Macaca mulatta: one gene and its partner. The protein of the gene in region 1 interacts with the protein of each later gene in a pairwise test. Links are inferred from orthologs where the notes say so. Each region holds a gene or a part of one and is shown on either strand. Other genes may lie near its edges. The genes, in order: JAKMIP2 and CLIP4.

Region 1 (11,002 bases):
TGTTACCTGACTCACAGCTACATCTTTGGTACCTAGTAACAGCACATGATAGCAACTAACAATAAACATCTCTTAGATTGAGTAACAATAAATGAATGGATGAACCTTGACCTCAAAGGCCTTGCACTAAAATAAGAAGGAAAGACAAATAAAAGAATATTTACCATTCACCATGTAAGTGTAGTTAGGATGTGTCACAGTACAATGGGAACCCTAGCTTCAATGCTAACCCTCGTATCAGTGAAGATACCCTGAAGGAGTTAATGGATACATTTTAAAGGTTGAAGAGTTGAGGCAACAAAGGAACCTCAAGAGGACATAAACTGAACAAACACAAAAGTGTCTACTTGCTATGCAGGAAGTCGTCTGCAAGATCATCGGCCATAAGAGTGTAGAATTCATAGGAGAGTTCTTCTAATATATTTGCTTACTGATACTATTGATAAAGGATATACAATGAGGTCAGAATGAGATCCTTATTCTTAGCAAACTCAAGAAGATCCTTACTGCTTATATTTAATGTTCTCTGTAAATGTATAATATATTAATAATCTCTCATAAAGAAGGCAGGGGACAAATAACAGTCACTTATGAATGCCTTTGTTTTTGCCCCCTTTTTGGGGAAATCAGGCTTTTGATGAAGTGTGACATAAGCATCTCCAGAATTCCTCATTATCTCTTGATAGCTGGTCTGCAGCCATAACAGCAGCTTTTAGAATAACCCCAAGTGATCTGAGTGCTTTGGAAACATCCAGAAAAATGTGCTAGGCATAACCATAGTTAATAAAATTGTGTTTATAACAATACTGATATGATTTATCATTTATTACATGCCAGGTACTCCTTAATATTTTGCACACATAAACTTCAAAAACGACTCAATGGAACCAAAGACTTCCAACAACCCTGGGAGTGAGTCTGGACTCACTGAACTCAGTCGAGGCTTCATATGAGACAGCAACCACAGCCAACTGTTTAACTACAACTCATGACAGGCTTTGAGCCAGAAGCTCTGAGCTAAGCCACTCCCAGATTTCTGCCCTGCAAACACTATGAGATAATAAATGATGTTTCAAGGTGCAAACAAATCCCACAGAACAATAATTCAGTGAGGTAGGTATTGCTATCATGTCCTACAGATAAAGAAACTGAGCCATGGAGAAATACAGCAACTTGTCCAAGGTCACTCAGAAAAGAAATGGTAAAGCCTGTACTCAATCCAGGAAGTCTGTCCCCAGAGCCCACACTTTGCAGCTTTCTCCCATTATGCTGTGGTATCTCCTGAAATTTTAATGCCACTTTTGGAGCCAACACCCATACCCTGTACTTTTTCAGACATCTCACGGAATTCAGAAGTCAAAGTTGGAAAAGTCCCAGGAGAGACAGACAGTTTGGTCACAATTAGTACTATTGACCAAGAAGCTCTTAGAGGAAAATCAGTGTTGCCCAAAGAACACCATGCCTACCCACTGAGGACATGTTAGATGACTTTGAACATACGTGAACAAACATTTTTACTTTCATAACTGTGTAGTTTTAAAATCTGTGCCAGATAAACATTACGTTAACATGCATGTGTGCTAAATAAGGTAATTAGCATAATTATCTAAGTAATTAGAGAAATACCAACAATATATCTGAACAAACGATACTATATGTATTATTATATAATTATATGTATAAATGATAGAGCCATGATTCAACGCAGAAAGTTATTCTTTCATTTATTTACTGGTTTATTCTTCAACAAATATTTATCGAGCACCTAATAGGGCCCAGACACCACTCACAAACAAACATGGAAATAAAAATCCCTGCCCTCTCATAGTTTATGTTCTGATAGGGAGAAACAGATAAAGAAATTTAATAGCACCAAAAAAACAGTATATCACTAATATATAATATAGTACACATTATAGTATAGCATACTACATTAAGCAATGTTATAATATACTGTATTATATTATCATAGAATATATTATTAATGTTAATTTTCTATACAGTTATATAGAAAAATAGAGCATGGTAAGAGAGGGGATGGTAATAGAGAGGTGTGAGTTTTAATCTTTCTTTTTAAATTAAAAATTATTATAAATAAAGCTGAAGTCTTTGTTTTACTAAAAAATTTAAGAATTTGTTTTCATTTCCTTCCCATGGGTCCATTATCTTTACCATAACAATTTTCATTTATGTTTTGCTGAAGTCACAGAAACATTTCATTTAAAAATGAATAAATGGCAAATCAAGTAAATCATAATTAAAATAAATAAGGGAAAACTATCAATAAATAATGATAACAGTGCTGCCTGGATATGACCAAAAACAAACGAGTAAGTTGTATTTGAATGGTTAAATTGGAGATTTCTTCAAATAGGAAACACCAAACTTTTCTCTCACCAGTTGACCCTTGACCAATTGTTTTATGTTGATGGGAGGAGTGGAAAAAACTAGAATCACTTACCCCTAGCCATTTAGCTCCTAGCACTAAGGATGAACCATATGGTTATAGTTTATTAACTATAACCATAGTTAATAAAATTAACTATTTAATTAACTAGACAGTGTGGAGGGTTCTGTCATCTAGTATGTCACAACTTCTACAGCCTTCAGCTCCCTGGTCTGCTTGCTTACAAGACCATCTCTGCGGAGAAAGCAGAAGATAAAATACAGGAACACTGAAAGAAGAGAGATGATCACATCCCATTCCTTTATGTTACACGTTACGCATAGGTGATGCTGACTTGGAAGTGTTTGCAGGTTGTGTGGCCGCCGAGGCTTTGACAGAAGACAGGGGACACTAGCTGCACAAAGGAGGTCGCAGGCTTTCCCACCAAGTGGATGGAAAGCCAGTGTCAAATGCTGGGGAAGTGCTGCAACTCTTTCCCTCATCACCTAGTTATCTTCAAGCCGGTTTTATTAGAAGAAGCCCCTGACATCAAGAATGACACTATGCAGGAAAAAGTCTTCTCACGTTTTAATATTAGTTACTTACAAATGAGTAACAACTAACCGTAGCTACATCTATTGAACATTTCCTATCTGCTAAACACTGCACATTTTACACACATCATCTAGTTTAATTTTTGTAATGACTCATGAGGTTCTGTGATTATTTCTTTTTACAGATGAAGAAATGTAGATTTGAGGAAGTTAATAAATACGTTCCAAATTATACCTATAGTAAATACTGGCACTAGGAATGGTGCCTAGGTCGTCTGACTCTGGAACTTGTGTTAATTCCATTTGAACCTGTAAATAACTCTGTGGATTAAGAACAAAGATTATTTCCATTTTATGGAGGAGTGGCAGAAACGTGTAGTGGTTAGGAGAGCAAATGTAAGTGTTAGAAGAGCCCATTTTGGGGAGGCCAAGACGGGCGGATCACGAGGTCAGGAGATCGAGACCATCCTGGCTAACACGGTGAAACCCCGTCTCTACTAAAAAATACAAAAAACAAAACAAAACAAAACAAAACAAAAAAAACTAGCCGGGCGAGGTGGCGGGCCCCTGTAGTCCCAGCTACTCCGGAGACTGAGGCAGGAGAATGGCGTGAACCCGGGAGGCGGAGCTTACAGTGAGCTGAGATCGCGCCACTGGACTCCAGCCTGGGCGACAGAGCGAGACTCCGTCTCAAAAAAAAAAAAAAAAAAAAAAAAAAAAAAAAAAAAAAAAAAAAAAAAAAGAATTCATTTTGATTCTGGCTCTGTCGTTTATCAGTTGTGAATTTGGGAAATGTATCTAACTCCTCTGAGATTTACAATGTCCTCAAATATCAAGATGTAGAGAACACTTAATCTCTTAGGGCCTCTCTGTCTTTGCCATCATCATCATGGTTATTACATATTTTGGGTTTTCTCACCTTAATTTTTTCTCCTACCTGAAATTGCCATGTTATTCCCCTTAAACCCTTAGATTAAGAGGTGGCTACAATGTACTACTATGCCGTTAATAGTAAATATTTATTGTACACTTACTACATGCCAAGAGCTTTTAGCGCATTATCTCATTCAATCTTTACAACCCCTGCACGAGATAAATACGGGTGTCATCTATAATTATGGTTAGAAACAGAATTCGCCTACAACTGGACATTGCTGACCTCACTTCCCCTTTTCCTGCCCACCACCCTGACTGCCAACTGACTTCGGAACTCCAAAGGGGCATCCATGAAAACGACAGGAATTGCCTGCAGGAAAATGAATGCTCTAGGAGTTTGACTCTAAAAAGATTGGGAACTGTCCACCAACTGGTGCTACTGAGAATAGTGGTTGTTGAAAGGAATTTCGGTCTCTATCCCAACTTACTTTTCCTCAGGGAAGCGTCAATTTCCTCCAAGTCCTCTTCAGAAGGGTAGCTGGAAAAACAGTGAAACCAAGTAACTTACCTGAGAACAAGCCGGGAGTAGTGCAAAGGAATCAACCAGATTCTTAACCTATTACAAAGTCCAGGCACTCCGTTTGCTTTCTAATAACCTTGTTGCCTGGTATTGAGTAAAAGATGCTATAAAGCACGAACACGTTTGGAAGTAATAATAATCTGCTGTTATGCGACATAATTTTCTCCATATTTGTTATTATTTTTCTGATAATAAATTTCATACATTTTATTGGAAAACCACAGAAAATGCAAAAAATAGCTAAGCTGTTACGTATGTTTCGATCTAAATTTCAATTAAATTTTAATTATTCTCTCCCCGTGCCTAACCACCCTTACCCCATTTTTTAAAAGACCTGGAGTCCAGGGTAGGAGAGATCAAGAGCGTCCCAGAGGGCAGCAGCACAAATTCTCTCTCCCCTCCAGACCCTGCAGCTTGCTTCGCCCATCTCCCCTCCCGCTTAGCTTGGTCGCTTATCATTGGTCATTGCCATGGCAACCAGCAGCTGCCGGGCCGGCAGCCTCTACCGCAGCAGGGGTGGGGCACTGGGGGAGGGGGAGAGAGAGAGGAGGAGCCAAAGGAGGTGTCTGCTGCAAGTTCCTGGCTGCTTCCGAGCTCACCCCATCCTCCGAGAGGGAGGAGGCCCAACTGGTGATGCTGCTGCTGCTGCCGCCGCCGCCGCCTCTATTGCTGATACTTTAGCGGGGCTGGAAGGGTGGTTCCTATTCGCACCATCGCCAACCAGAGACAGAGGGGGAAAAAAAAAAAACCGGCAGCCGCTGCTGATGTTGGGTTCGGAGGCTGCATCCGACTCGGTCACAAGGAAAATGGATTCAGTTTGCATCTCTCCCTCCTTTAAACAGCTTCTCCGGGTCTCAGCATGGTGAGTAGGAAACAGTAGGGCTCCCTTCTTGGTTTAGCGTGTTATTATTTGACCTATGTATACATTTCTGGCCTGAACTTGAACAATGACTCCCGTGCCACAGACTAGAAGGGGGAGATGTGGAGACAGAGATGAGGATGGAGGGAGAGGAACGTTGCCAGGAAGAGAGAAGTGAGAAGGCAACCGCTTGTGTTTAAAAAAAAAAAAAAAAAAAAAAAAGGTGTTCTGATTTTATCTCTAACTGGCTCAGAATGCAGACTGAGCCACTTGGTGCCTTTTTCTCCTAAGCTTAGCAACAGCATCAGGGGTTGGAAAAAGAGCTAACAACAAGAAGAGGGTGTTATTGAAAGGAATCATTTCATTTGCAGCTCTCACATACAGGGTTGGGCCTTCTTCAGAAATACATTTGGTGTCTCATAAGCTTCTCAGACTCATTATAAGGTGGTTTTGCTTATTTTATTGATTGCTTAGAAAAAGTGGCCCCAGAATTTGACATTTTATTTTGTACTCTTGTTGAGAAATCATTTGCAAGACCCAGTTTTATTTTATACGTAGATTTGATTGTGAACTTACACATGTATATCTTATGGATATATATATCATATATACACATGTTACTTAGCATTTATATTGCATTTATGAAGCATATTTATATGTAGGGTGTGCTTTGCAGTCATTTTTATGGTTTAGATATGTCCTTGCATTCCTGGAAGTACTTGCATGTTTTTGAAACTATGCTTCTGGTTTATATTATTATTCATTGGCTTTATTTGGATTAATGTGAAATTTACTCTGGTTATTGTCTCTTAGTTTCATTGTGACCAATTGGAACAGATGCCTATGATTTGATCTGTGTCACAGAACTAGATGCAAATTCGTAGCCTGCCTCTTTATTTTTAATTGGGTTTGTGGGGGATGATATTGAGGACTCCGAATTTACAATGATGGGAAAGGGAGGTGGCTTGTGGTATTATTTTGTATCTAGCATCTTACCAAATCAATGTTGAAGCAAATCAGTTTTCTTGAAATGCCACCCCAACCTTTTCATGTTTGTGCCTTGTATCCCAGGAAGCACAGCTGAGCTGGCAGGTGAAATGCATTCATTTTATTTAATAGTGCTGCTATCTGCTGTTCATTCCTTCAGTATCCAGGAACCATTTTACAGTTCTCTCAAATGTTGTATTAAGGGTCTCCTTCTGTAAATAAGAACGTAGGATTGTTTTGAAAATCTAGGTATTCCTAAGCACCCTAGCCCAGCCGTTTCCAAATTAGTCTGCTTATACAATGAAATGAAACCAGGGAGTGAGCAAAGCTGAACAGGAGAATGTGTGGCTTGTAGCTGAATTGGGCTGGGGGGGGGGGATGTGTGGGGGGGGTGGGCTATTGTAATTTACAAATGCTTACTGGGATCTGCTTGACCTTTTATTATGTCAAGGTTTTAAGGCAGCTCAGGAGACTAAAGATCCCTGAGATGAGGAGGTTCCATTCCCACTCAGGATAATGGATTTCATTGAATTAAAGCCAGAAAAAAATATGTAGGTAGAGTGTATTAGTAGTATTACATTTACCACATGGGCTATTATAGTTTTATCCATTAGTCTCTTCTCTAACAATATCAGTGTCAGTACAGACATTTTTTACAATGTAAAATGACAATTATTTGGGGCTTTAGTCTGGCATCTGATTCTACATACTCCCCCCACATTTATAATTTTCACATGTATTTGAATCGGGTTTATAGTTTAATTTGTCTGAGAATAATTGTTCTATTTGGCTTATACATGAGAAGGGCCCTTGGGGACTTAATTGTGCATGTCCTCATAGCATGTCATATATTATAGATCCACAGCTTTGTAAACTCATGCTACTTTGTGCCTAATTGTAACAACTATATGAAATAGGGCAAGAAAAGAGGTACTGGGCTTGTATGTTATAACAAATTGTATAACACATTGTATCCTGAATCTTTTAGTGATAACACTTGACTTCCAAAAATCAAAATGTTAGATATGTCTATTGTACACTTAAAAAATTAAGATTTGTAAAATTAAGATTTGTTGACCCCATTTCATGCAATGAAAGCAGATATCCTGTGGCTTTGTTTTTGTTTCTTTCTTGTTGAGTTTTCGTTTGGAGGTGGTTTTATAGGCAAAGTTGGTACAGTTTGAACAGAGGCAAATCCCTTAGGTCATGTGCTTAAAACTCCTTGTAGATAGCCTGTTTCAGCTATGTGTCTGCTGTTACCCTGATAGAAATACAGGTCTAGCTTTTGACCCCAGTCTTTAAGACAACTATATGACCTTTGCTAAGGGGCCGCTGAAAAGTGAAGTGTGTTTCAAGCACTAGAAGTTGAACTCTCTGCGGAAAGATTTTTAAAAGCTAGGATTCGTATGTAACAAATCTGCATGTTGTGCACATGTACCCTAGAACATAAAGTGTAATAAATAAATAAATAAATAAATAAATAAGCTAGGATTATTTCATTTGGAGAAGAGAACAATGAAATACGACAATCATTTGTTTCAGATAAGCTGAGCATGGGGCATAAGCATAGGACATTGCTTATTGCTATTTTTTGAAACTTCAAATGTGGTCAATGGGCTTCAACTTTATGAGGAATTATGAAGATTAGAAATATAAAAATGTAGAAGTTCCTCATAGTAAGTGTGAGTAGTCAACTGGCTAATCAAATAAAGCAATGTACTCTTCTCTCATCAAAACTGCCAAAAGTATGACCTAGATATGCTTTTGTCTAGGATGGACTAGATTTCCTTCTCAAGAACTTCTCTTGCTTTTTCTAGAGTGAGTCATTTATTTAAGAGAGTACATTAGTTGTTTAAGATCAGGCACTTCTAGATTATAACAGTAAGACTCCATTTTGTAGTTGGCTTCTAAATTACAGGATCTAGGTATTTGTAAAGAAATCAACTGATCATCTTCCTAGAGAAATTTACATGTAATCCTGCCAGAATTCAGGAAACTGAACATTTACCTGTTCATAAGAGCCCTTCTTTCTCAGCAACTTTATGGAGTGTGATGTCAAATACCTATATTAAAATTATCTCATATTGTATAGTTAATTTTGAAAAATGTAATGTGTCATTTAATGGGGTCTTTATACAAAATAATTCAAGAGCCATCAAGTTGTTTTTTTAAAAAAACAAATTATATGAAAGATATATACAAATTAATGCTTAAATGTGCTATTTAACAAACTAATCTTCCACTCAAACACTATCTTAAAAATGTCATTCATGTTAGAATATTAAAGTTAAATATTTTGATTGGTATGTAAGACTTTAGTAAAACTTGTTTTAATTAAGACACACACTAATTAATTTCTCACTTTGTAATAGGACGTTTCTCATTTCGGGTGACATCAGAACATGTTTTGATTTTATGTACCTGCTGCAAGTCGGCTTCAGGATGACTTAGACAATATTTGCAGAGTGAAACAGTTTTTTACATTTCTTTTTGGTTCATGAAAAGTCAATACTTTGTTTCTCATGGTTGGAGCTTATTGTGGAAGTTTTAACATAAATAACGCAATGATGGTCTTTTACTGAAAGAAATACGTTAGGTTTATACTTGGTTGTTACTCTGTGAAGTGTGTTACAATTCCCTCTGTTTACACATTCCACTATTTTTCTATCAAGGGAAAATGTGCTTTCAAACAGGATAAATTAATCAATTGACTAACAACTATTTGTAGAGCTTTCATATGACTAGCAGAATTTGCATGTGCTAGCAAAAAAGAATTTCCTTGGAGAATATAAGATATACATCCATGAAACAGTTAGTGTTGAAAACAATATAGTTGTAATTAGTACCATCACTTCACCATATATTAATACAAGTTTTCATAATTCTGTCATTTTTCCATTCTTTTTCATTTTATATTCTATCAATTTCAATTTATATGCTATCATTTCAATTCTATCATATCAGCAAAGCTAGTGTCATAGTAATTCTTTAAAATAAGTGGAAACAGATTCAAGGAGGTTAGACTTGTCCAAATTTGTGTTTGGTAAATGGTGTAACAGGCTGGATCCCTAGTCTCATAAGTACAAACTACTATAGTAGAAAGGTAGCGAATTATCTTACCAACATGAATTTTAACTAATCTGTGTTGTGTGGCTCATTTTATTTGAATATTTCAGGTACCAAAATTTGTTCTTTGGACATATCAAATTGCCAAATACACTATGTGCGTAGGGTATCAGGCAAACAAACAAAAAATGAAAACAAAACAAAACAAAACGGCTCACACACACAAAAAGAGTACTTTAGAGAAAATCTAGGCTTTTTGATATATCAGAAAAACCTAGAAGCATTTGTTTGGGTGAAAATCAGAACTTTATTGGACTGCTATGCATTTATTTTATAAATAAATATTGTTTTTATTTTTAATGACGTAGAGTTTGGGAGGTGACCATTGTTTTCTGTGTTTAGGATCAGATTAAAATTCCTGTAGGTCCTGAATCTTGAAAAAATTATGCCACCTCCCACCTATATGTCCTAATTATCTCTCTACCTACACATTCTTAAAAGTAAAAATGATGTTGTTATAAAATAAGTGTACATGGCCGGGCGCGGTGGCTCAAGCCTGTAATCCCAGCACTTTGGGAGGCCGAGACGGGCGGATCACGAGGTCAGGAGATCGAGACCATCCTGGCTAACACGGTGAAACCCCGTCTCTACTAAAAAATACAAAAAACTAGCCGGGCGAGGTGGCGGGCGCCTGTAGTCCCAGCTACTCCGGAGGCTGAGGCAGGAGAATGGCGTAAACCCGGGAGGCGGAGCTTGCAGTGAGCAGAGATCGCGCCACTGCACTCCAGCCTGGGTGACAGAGCCAGACTCCGTCTCAAAAAAAAAAAAATAAGTGTACATCAGTTCAACAACTTTCTGGTATTTTCTCTGAACAAATGCTCCTACATTTTTCTGAAATATAAAAAATATTTATTTGTTTTTCAAATATTCTAATTTTCTGGTGTATCTTTTTCTTTATTAATTCCCTAGGCACATACTGGTATAAGTATTTGGTAATTCAGCTCTGGCCAAATAGCAAATTATGACATTGAACCATATTCTACATTTGGAAAAAGAGTCCTTTATAATTAATTAACTTGCAGTAAAAATGAGACCTGTCACACTAAAAAAATTGTTCTTTAAATAATTATTCATTACCACAAGTAAATTTTGTTGCTTCAAGTTTTTTTATATTTAAAAATAATACATCCTCATTATGGAAAAATGATAATACAGAAATGTGTAAAAGGAAGATGAGAACGACTCATAAGCCTACCATCAATAAATCATTACTGTTAGCATTCTGGAGTATTTCCTTTTAGATCTTTTTGTATATACACACAGAAACACATGCAGACACACAGTTTCATAAATGGATCATACTCTATGCATTGTTTTAAATTGCTTTTGCTTTATGTATAGTGGCCATCTATCCATGTCAACTAATGTGTCTCTACTGAATTTTAAATTTCCGCGTGCATTTTTCTTGATGATTCAAGCTGTTTTTTCCCCCACTTGGGAGTCTTCACACTTTACTTTTAAATACTTCTTATGATGCAGATAGATCCTGCTTGATTTAAAGCAGTCATGAGTCAGGCATTATATTCAGGAAATATGAACTCTGTTACCCTGACCTGCCACTGCATCTTACAATTGGTATTAAATTAACCTTGGTCATTCCTTGTCTGCTAATAATGAATGAAGTCTGAATCCAA
Region 2 (10,172 bases), on another chromosome or scaffold:
AGGCGGGAGGATCACTTGAGGTCAGGAGATCGAGATAATCTTGGCCAACATGGTGAAAGCCTGTGTCTGTGAAACTACAAAAAATTAGCTGGGTGTGGTGGCTTGCACCTGTAGTCCCAGCTGCTCAGGAGGCTGAGGCAGGGGAATCGCTTGAACCCGGGAGGCAGGGGTTTCAGTGAGCCAAGATCACACCACTGCCCTCTATCCTGGCAACAGAGCAAGACTCCGTCTCAAAAAAAAAAAAAAAAAGAAAAGAAAAGAAAAGTACAAAAATTAGCTGGGCATGGTGGCAGGCACCTGTAGTCCCAGCTACTTGGGATGCTGAGGCAGATCACTTGAACCTGGGGGGTGGAGGTTGCAGTGAGCCTAGATTGCTCCACTGCACTCCAGCCTGGGTGACAGCAAGATTCTGTTTCAAAAAACAAAAGAAAGTAATATATATATTTTTCTCAGACGACAATCTCTGCATTTCCTTTTCTGTGTGCTTATCTTTCAAGCTGGCAGAAATGCCATTTCCCCACTAACGTGTCTTTCCTGAGGCTTTAAGGGAGGAGAAACGCCTTCCTCTTCCGTGCTGTATACAGTCTTTATTACCATATTTGTAACATTTTACTGACTGTTCTGTACAGATACCTAGAGCGTAGCCCCATGCCTGCCATTTCATAGGTGGCCAATACATGTTTTTGAATGAGTAAACGGAGCTCTCAAACATACCGCAATTCTCAGTGTCTCAATTCTCTGGCTTTTGAGCTTTGACATACCTTGAATCAGATAAATCATTCTTATTAGAATGTGAAGTGTTTACCCAAGCCATTAATTTTTGGTTTAGATGCTGAATCCATTATTTGCTTGTTTGTTTAAAAGCTTTTTTGATTACGAAAGTTGTATAATATTTGAAAAATTAAGAAAAACCAAATGTAAAAAGGTCATCTGTAATGTTGATATCTAGATGAGATTATCACTGTTAGCATTTGGTATATACTTTTCCAATTGTTTTCCTAATGCATGTGTCTGATTTTTTTTTTTTTTTTTTTTTTTTTTTTTTGAGAGGGAGTTTCACTCTTGTCGCCCCAGCTGGAGTGCAATGGTGTGATCTTGGTCACTGCAACCTCCGCCTCCTGGGTTCAAGTGATTCTCCTGCCTCAGCCTCCCGAGTAGCTGGGATTACAGGCCCGTACCACCATGCCCAGCTAATTTTTTGTATTTTTAGTAGAAACGGGGTTTCACCATGTTAGCCAGGCTGGTCTCGAATTCCTGACCTCAGGTGATCCACCTGCCTCGGCCTCCCAAAATTCTAGGATTACAGTGTGCACCACCGTGCCCGACCATGTGTCTGAATTTTTAAGCAATGGGAAATGAATCATATTCCATATACCCATTTCAAAGCTTTCCCCCTGTATGTCATGCTCATATTCCCATATTCTTTAATAGCTTCCTTCCGCGTTACTTTAGCAATGTTTTTAAAGACTGTGCCGTGATATGAAAACATTTTTATGTTTTTTTTCCATTAATTTTTTTGAGCCTCAGATTCTTCTTCCGTTATAAGGAGGTAATAATCCCCTCTTCACTGGTTTGGGTGAGATCAAAAGAGATAACGTATGTGAAGTGTTAGGTACCTACTGAGTGTTCAGGAAGTGATAGCTGTTGTCATTATTCATGTGAAAATTACAGTAATTTTGTCAGGCTACAAAAACTTATTCACAATAATAAATGAAAAAAATCAGAATTTAATTTGTAATAGATGCCAGACTTGTAAAACATGTATTGAACTCTCCCCTTCCTTGCACCTTCCCCAATACTTCCTGTCTCTTTCTCTACATATATGTATGTGAGGGTGTTTTTCAATATTTATGTATTTATTTGATGAGTCTTACTCTGTCACCCAGGCTGGAGAGCAGTGGCACTATCTCAGTTCACTGAAACCTCTGCCTCCTGAGTTGAAGTGATTCTCGTGCCTCAGCCTCTTGAGTAGCTGGGATTACAGGCGCCTGCCACTGTGCCCCTCTAAGTTTTATATTTTTTGTACAGCCAGGGTTTCACCATGTTGACCAGGCTGGTCTGAAACTCCTGGCCTTAAGTGATCTGACTGCCTCAGCCTCCCACAGTGCTGGGATTATAGGCGTGAGCTGCTGTGCCTGGCTCTGTTTTCAGTTCATGCATTAAAGGTCTTTATTTGCAGTTAATTTTAATGTGGAGGAGTGGTGAGAATCATAGCCTTTGTCTCAGCTAATTTTTACAGCACTTCTAATTCCATGTTCACTCCTTTTTCACTGCTTTGAAGTTTTACTTTTTAATCACATGTAAAATAATTATGTGTGTGTTTCATTTTTCTAAAATATGTTTTCTGTGTCATTTAAAACTACATTCTTATGCCAGAGCCACATTATTTTAACTGTTTTAACTTTATAATTTAACCTAATGGCAGCGTAAACCTTGCCTCATTATTTTTCAACCTTTTCTTAATTACCAGTACCCATTCTGTTTGTGAAGAGAGCCTGGCCTTTGTGCTTATGCAGCCATGGATCTGAGCCTCGTCTTTGCTCTTTTCATCTCTCTGACCTTAGGCACATAGCTTAATTTTTTTGAGCCTCAGATTCTTCTTCCGTTATAAGGAGGTGTAATAATCCCCTCTTCACTGGTTTGGGTGAGATCAAAAGAAATAACGTATGTGAAGTGTTAGGTACCTACTAAGTGTTCAGGAAGTGATAGCTATTGTCATTATTCCTGTGAAAATTACAGTAATTTTGTCAGGTTACAAAAAATATCCATTTGGGGAGGATTAACCTATATACATTTCTGTTTAGTAACAGAGCTCCTCCATGTGTGTTCTTCAGTAAAGATTTATGCTTTTTCTTACAGGTATTACATGTTTCTTCAGTAAATTTATTATTTGTGCATTTGACATGTGAATAATTTAAGACTGTTTTCTAATTAGAATTCTATCACGTACTTGCAGATGTGGCTTAGAATAAATCTCTGAGCCTCAGTTTTCCTATCCATTAAAATTAGTCATCTTCCTTTGTTGCAGGGTGGTTAATAGGAGCAAATGAAACATTGTATGTGACAGTGTATTAAAAATATAGAAAATGAAATGAAATATGAAATAAGACCCAGATTCTGTTCACAACAAGCTCCTGTGTAGTTTTAGTAACAGGTTCTGTGTTGAATCTCCTGTGGGGTAGGGAGAAGGGTTTCTTTTGGAGGGGGGTGGCATGGGATAGAGGATGGAAGGCTCCAGGTAGTTTTGGTGGTTTCTTGCCGTTTTGGAAGGTCTCAGCCCAGGGGGCAACAAGACTCTGGTCATGTTTCTGTTGTGGGTGAATATCAGGGTCAGTTACTTCCAGTGGACAGTGCAGGCAGCTCTGGGGCAATATGGCCTTGAGGCCTTGGGTGAGTGCACTGGGGAGTCCCATGCCTCATTATCAGGTTGTGGTGGTGGTGAGTGCTAGGAGACGTTCTAGCACATTGTAAGGAATGTTATGTTGTAGGGAGAAGGAGAGGCAGCTGCTCCAGGCACCTCAGACCCTCATTAGTGTTAGTGGCTGGGAGGGTGCTAAACTTTTAACTGTAACTGGAGTTTATACATAGAACATATGTGCATATATGTATAGATATTTCCAAAGTTGTAGATTTACAGTTTTTGAAATTTGTTTTCATATGAAAAAATATTTTTTTCGAGTGAACAAAAAATAAATTTACTACACTGTCAAAATACTAGATTCTTTTCTTTTTGCTTTATTTGATAATATTGATAGCAATTAAAACAGCCAAAATACTAGATTCTTTCTTTTTGCTTTATTTGATAATACTGGTAGAAATTAATTAGGTATAAGTGTATTTTTTCTAATTGCTATTTTACTGAAAGCATATATATGTGTATGTGTGTGTACATACACATATATATGTGTACACACACACACACACATATATATGGCAAATGAAATCTTAAATCCAGAATAGGGTAGTCTTAAAATAGCGCAAAGACAAAAACTTTTAAAATGTTAAACAAAAGTACAGTTGAACTTTGAGTAATGAGTGCGGGCATTAGGAGTGCCATCCCCTGCTTGCCTGCACAGTTGAAAATCAGTGTATATCTTTTGACTCTCCCAGAACTTAACTACTGATAGCCTACTGTTGACTGGAAGCCTTACCTATAACATAAAGAGCTGATTAATACATATTTTGTAAGTTACATGTAGTATGTACTGTATTCTTACAATAAAGTAAAAAAATGTTAAAGTCATAAGGAAAATATATTTACTATACCTTAAGTAGAAGCAGATCATCATAAAGATCTTCATCTTCATTCTCCTCACTTTGTGCAGCCTGAGGAGGAGGAGGAAGAGAAGGGGTTGGTCTTGCTGTCCCGGGTGGCGGAGGCAGAAGAAACTCCGTGTATGCGCGGACCCACATACTTCAAACCTGTGTAGTTCATGGGTCAACTGCATATTCTAAAACTGCTATTTAAAATTTGAAAATCAAGTTGTGACCATAAAGTATTCTCTTTTGGGAACTGAATGAATGAATTCTGCATCTGGCAGTGGAAATGATATCAGGAAATGATGGCTGTCGTCATTCTTTATGTGAAAATCACAGTAATCTTCAGCACTAAAGAATTTTCCCCACTTTTCCCTTCCGCACAGATCGAAAGCTGCTTTGCGTCGCAGTTGGAGCAGCACTCCCCCTGCAGGCGGCATTGAAGGGAGCGTGAAGCTGCACGAGGGGTCTCAGGTCCTGCTCACGAGCTCTAACGAGATGGGTACTGTTAGGTACGTGGGCCCCGCTGACTTTGCTTCAGGTATCTGGCTTGGACTTGAGCTCCGAAGCGCTAAGGGAAAAAATGATGGGTCAGTGGGCGACAAGCGCTATTTCACCTGTAAGCCGAACCATGGAGTCTTAGTTCGACCGAGTAGAGTGACCTATCGGGGAATTAATGGGTCCAAGCTTGTGGATGAGAATTGTTGAGTTAAGCTTCTAATATATTAAATAAGCTCGAATATATATATTCGAATATATATATATAAATATATATATATATATTTGGTGTAAATAAAGAGTCCATGGTAAATGGTTTACTTTATTTAGCCATATTTAAATTTTGAAAATATAGTTATCTTCTTAAAAACCATTATAACAATTCAGAGAGAGTTCTTTACAAAGCCATGAATATGAACTCTGGGGAATCATGGTTCTTTTAAAGCAATTTTCAAAATAAGTACCGATTAAAGCTTTAGGTCCCAAGAAAATTCTGGGACTCAGGAAGAAAAAGTGCCATCAGGTGACCAGCTGTTGCATTTCTTTGCTTATTCTGTTTTTGTTTTGCACAAACCTATTGGATTTTTCTTAGCGCCATAATTGCGAAGGGTTTCTCTAGCTTTGGTTACGAATAATGTTCACATGACCTTTTTTTTGGTCAAGCATTTTTGGAATTTTTCTTTCTTTCTGTGCTTTATTACTAATAAGTCCAATAAGTGAATAGTAACTAGATGACTAGTATGTATTTTTATATTTTGGTAAAATTATTTGCCCTTTCAGAAATGCCTCGTCTAAAGATACATGATAATTTTGGGGTTGGAAGGGGCCTCAGAGCCTCTGCAGCTCTGCTTCTTGTCCATTGCCAAATACGGAAGTGGAAGCCCGTCTTACCTGGGGTCACTAACTGGTTGGTTAACTGAGCTAAGAGTAGAATGTGGGTCTCCTCACTTGTGGCCCAGTGCTCTTTCCTCTATACAAAATGTCTAATCTCAGATTTTTCTTCTGCTGCTTGACTGCTTCATCTGGATGAACTACAAAAACCCATGATTAAGGTTTATGAATTCAAGTGGTAATTAGATTTTTTTGCACAAACTTACTTAACTTCCTTATTGGATATGTTTGTAACACATAAACACGAAGCACTTTTAAAACATGATGCACTTTTATCTTTGTGAAGAATTTACCGTCCTTTCCTCCTGAGATATGAGAAACATTTTAAAAAACGTATTTAACGGAAGAGAGCAAATAAAGATATATTAGGAGGGATGTATTAGTTATTTACTTAAATGTTTATAATATCTGGATTTTTTTTGTTTTATTACTCATAGAACTGGTGTTGGGTTTGCTGTTTTTATTTCTCGAATTGTTGCAGAGTTCAGCCTGTTACAAAGCTACAGAACTGTACTGTTTTTATTTTTCTTCTTGAGCACATGTTAAACTAAGCTTCATATTAGAGTGATGTCATAATGTAAAATGTTTGCATTGTGGTTACATATTGAAGTTAATGTCCTGTCTGTGTAAAGATTCATCTTTTATTGTGAATATTTAGACTTTACCACAGAAATATTGGAACAGTTTGCTTTATAAGATTAAAAAGTATCCTTCAGAATGGAGCTTGCCTTGTGCTTAGAAATAATATGTTGAACTATTTTGCAATATACTATTTTAAATCTAAATTCTGTCACTTCGCTGCCTTTTTAAAATAGTGTGGTGTTTCAAATATTGCTAGAGCTATTTTCCTGAAATACATTTGCAAAATAAGGCTGCTTTGTAATCAAGGAATATTTTTATTGATTGAAGGAAATGACTGTACTGCGATTCAAAAGTAAACTTATTTTATTATACAGATTATTTCTTAAAAACTCTATTTATACCTTAACATGAAATCCATGACCACACCAAACTTGGTTATTCATAATTTTTCCTGTTAAATATAAAACACTATAAGTTAAAAACAGTAATGCCAACGTTGAATTTATTTTTGAGGTCAAAGAACCAGTTCTCTTTATATTTAGATGAGGATTATTAAGTCCATATAACATGTATGTTTACATATATTATACATGCAAATTAGGTGTTTTCATTTGTGTTTTGCTTATGAAATGTCATTTAAAGTTCAATTCTTGAGCATCAATAAAAAGGGAAGCTGTGTGGTTTTGGAATGTTATCTTGTCATTTACCCTATTTGCAACTCTCCTTTTTCTCAGTAACTCAGGGTACATATGCTTTGAACTTTTTCCTCATGGTAATGGCTTGGGTTTGTCCTATCCCTATAAAGAATATTAAAAAGTATCATGCTTTCTACTCAACAATGTATGTTCATAGCCACCCTCCTATTATTGTTTTGATGAATAGTGAGTCATTTAAGAAAAGAATACATTTCTACAGTTAGGATTTCACTTGTTTATTTAGTGTAGGATGGAACACTTTGAATTTAGAAAATAGAAATAACTGCCTTTTACTAAACTTTGTTTTTATATTTTGTTTTATATTTAGGGTGACTTTGAGGGAATATTTTTAAGTATGTAAGAATGGTGAGATACAGCTGTTTGCTGACTGAACCGTGGTGTTGTAATCTTGGTGTGAGTCTCTGGCACCTCCTCCCAAGAGCTCCTTGTTCCCCTCTCATGTTTTAATTTTCTCTTTAGCATTTGGTCATGCTTACTACTGATTACAGCTTCTTGCTTATTATTTCTTCCTTCCTTCACTAGATTGAGGAGTGGATTTTTGACTGTTTTGTTCACCACTTTATCCCCAACGCCTAGAATAATACTTGATACCTAGTAGACGCTCGGTTTTGTTGCGTGAACAAAGGCAGTAAAGGCCACTGATTGTTGGAAATATGCTATCTAGCTAGCTAGCTTCAGACAAGGGGCCTTGCGAGACTAGGCCACAGAACAGGTAAATTTTCTTAGACATGGAAGGAAGGAGGACAAGTTTGAATCCAGGAGCCCCGAACTTACCCCTGAAGAGTGTCGTGTAAGAGACAATAGATGCTGAGTGGTGCAGCAGTAGGGAATGGGGAGGAAAGACACAGCAGGACCAACTGGGTCAGCTCCCTTTCCCTTCTGCCTGGTGCTGACTTTCAATTCCTATTTTAATATGATGGTAATGTACAGAACATGGAAATACGTGTGGTCTAATGTGGAGAGAATGAACTGGATCATACCCAAGTGGGGATAACGTTGATCTCCAGTATTTTATTTATATATATATATATATAAAATACTTTATATATATAATATATAAATATAATATTTTATATATTAAAAATATAATATATATATATATATATATTTTTTTTTTTTTGAGTCGGAGTCTTGATCTGTCACCCAGGCTGGAATGCCATGGTGCGATCTTGGCTCACCGCGACCTCTGCCTCCTGGGTTCAAGCGATTCTCCTGCCTCAGCCTCCCGAGTAGCTGGGATTACACAGGCACCCACCACCATGCCCAGCTAATTTTTTTTTGTATTTTTGGTAGAGACAGGGTTTCCCCATGTTGGCCAGGCTGGACTCAAACTCCAGACCTCAGGTGATCCACCTGCCTTAGCCTGCCAAAGTGCTGGGATTACAGGCCTGATCCACCATGCCTGCCTGTGTTAGATGTTTTTATTTCAGAGTTTTATTTTGAGGCTACCTATTTAGAACGTGTGATAATATTATTTAAACCACATCAACCAATAGCTAGAAGCCTATTGTGTTAAAATCATTCTTAATTGAGAAATAGTTCTAGTTTTTTTAATTACTTACCAGATGGATATTTGTTATCAAAATAACAAATGACTGAATGACTCAGAGACATATAATATCCATTACCACATTGCAAGCCAATAGAAGAATTAATTTTTTATTTTTTTCATGCCCTTCTCTACACTTATTTATAATACAAATACAGTGGTTAATACAAAACTCACGTTATCATGTATATTTTTAGTATTTGTTTAGTATCCCTTGGTACATAGGCCTTATTTACAAACAGTGTCACATGCTGTTTGAATATAAAATAAGCATTCCTGATGAAGTTTATGTATAGGATGAACAAGTTAAACTTGCAGGACATGTTAAGATTGTATTATAAGCGGAATATGATGCTTTTGCTTAGGCAAAAAGATGTTCTATCATACTTTTTTGCTAATGCTCCTTTTTATGAGAGGAAGTCTACATGGTGGAATTCGAGTAGAGGGGCACATATTACTGACATTAATATCCTTTCATTATGTGTGGTCAAATGAAACTTTGTTTTATAGCTCTCTGTTGAGAGCAGCATCAAGGTGTAGGAGAAGCTTTTTCCTTTTATCTTTTTAGAATGTCTTCCAAAGATTAGAATGTTCATGACAATAAATCAGCAGCAAATTTCATCATTTACTATACCTTTCAAATAGGGCAAGTGTAGTGGTCATGGTGGTTGAGAAGGGGCAGGGCGTTCTGAATTATTAAAGATATTTCAGGTGTTTAAATTGAGGCTGTTAGCTGAAAACATAATCTGTTCCCAAGGATCACTGGTGTCATTTTTTAAATGCTCATAAATCTGGTTTAAGTTTGGCTCTAAAATCCCTCATGAACCTAGATATGTGAGTGTGTTGCCACCGTAGCCCCAATAGACTCCTGCGTCAGGAGGAATTTGGTCTCAGGATTAGATATTTAGTCAGAGTTGTTTCAGCTGGCTACATAAAATCCAATTGGGATCAACTGAACTCAGCAAGCTAACTGAGTACAGGATACTGTACTGAATTTGAATTTTAGGCATTTCTAAAGCATAGAAGGTTTAACCATCCGAGTGCTGTGTTCTTGGCCTGTGTCCATCTGAGGGAGGTTAAGTTCTTTCAGTTCCAGCCCTTCATGACTTTATTCCAAGTAGACAGACTTACCTTATTGAAGACTGAACTAATTATCATTTTTCACATAACAAATCAGACCGACATGGAGATGAATCATATTAAGATTATATGCACAGCTTCATGCCATGCTTTTTGTTCTTTTCTCTAGTATGACTTCTGAGATTCAGCTTGAAACTCAGTCAACAGTGTTAATGACATTGGCTGCCCCTGACAGTTCTTGTTGTGAAGGGGTGGTTGTTACTATCCAGTATCTTTGGGGGAAAAAAAACCCTAAAATGAATTTTTAAATGAATTTTAATAGTCATAAAAAGTCTAATATTGATGGCAAGGGGAAGTGGATTTTGTATTACAGACAATATAGAGCATTACAGAGCAGAAGAATAAAGCAAAAAATTAGAGTTGCCTTTATTGAACCTGCCAATACAAATGGATTTCTAATAAGAATTCCAGTACATTACACATATCAGTGAAAATATTGTACTTTTTTCAGATGATATTTTCTCTTACTTGAAGGGAATAGAGCTTAGGGAATTAAGAAATAGCATGAGATTCTTGAGGCCTCACTTTACACCCCCCGG

The links.
Region 2: the proteins of JAKMIP2 (region 1) and CLIP4 interact in binary tests that used the Homo sapiens proteins (3 or more experiments, as listed by UniProt). The two-hybrid records come from large-scale screens. The link is inferred for Macaca mulatta from reciprocal best matches to the Homo sapiens genes JAKMIP2 and CLIP4.

What each region holds. Positions count from the first base shown.
Region 1 is NC_133411.1:156,660,530-156,671,531, reverse strand, and holds the start of JAKMIP2 (janus kinase and microtubule-interacting protein 2), read left to right. Parts: upstream 1-5,133; 5' UTR 5,134-5,255; coding exon of another isoform or gene 5,256-5,258; intron 5,259-11,002.
Region 2 is NC_133418.1:95,786,510-95,796,681, reverse strand, and holds the end of CLIP4 (CAP-Gly domain-containing linker protein 4), read left to right. Parts: intron 1-4,643; coding exon 4,644-4,965; 3' UTR 4,966-6,917; downstream 6,918-10,172.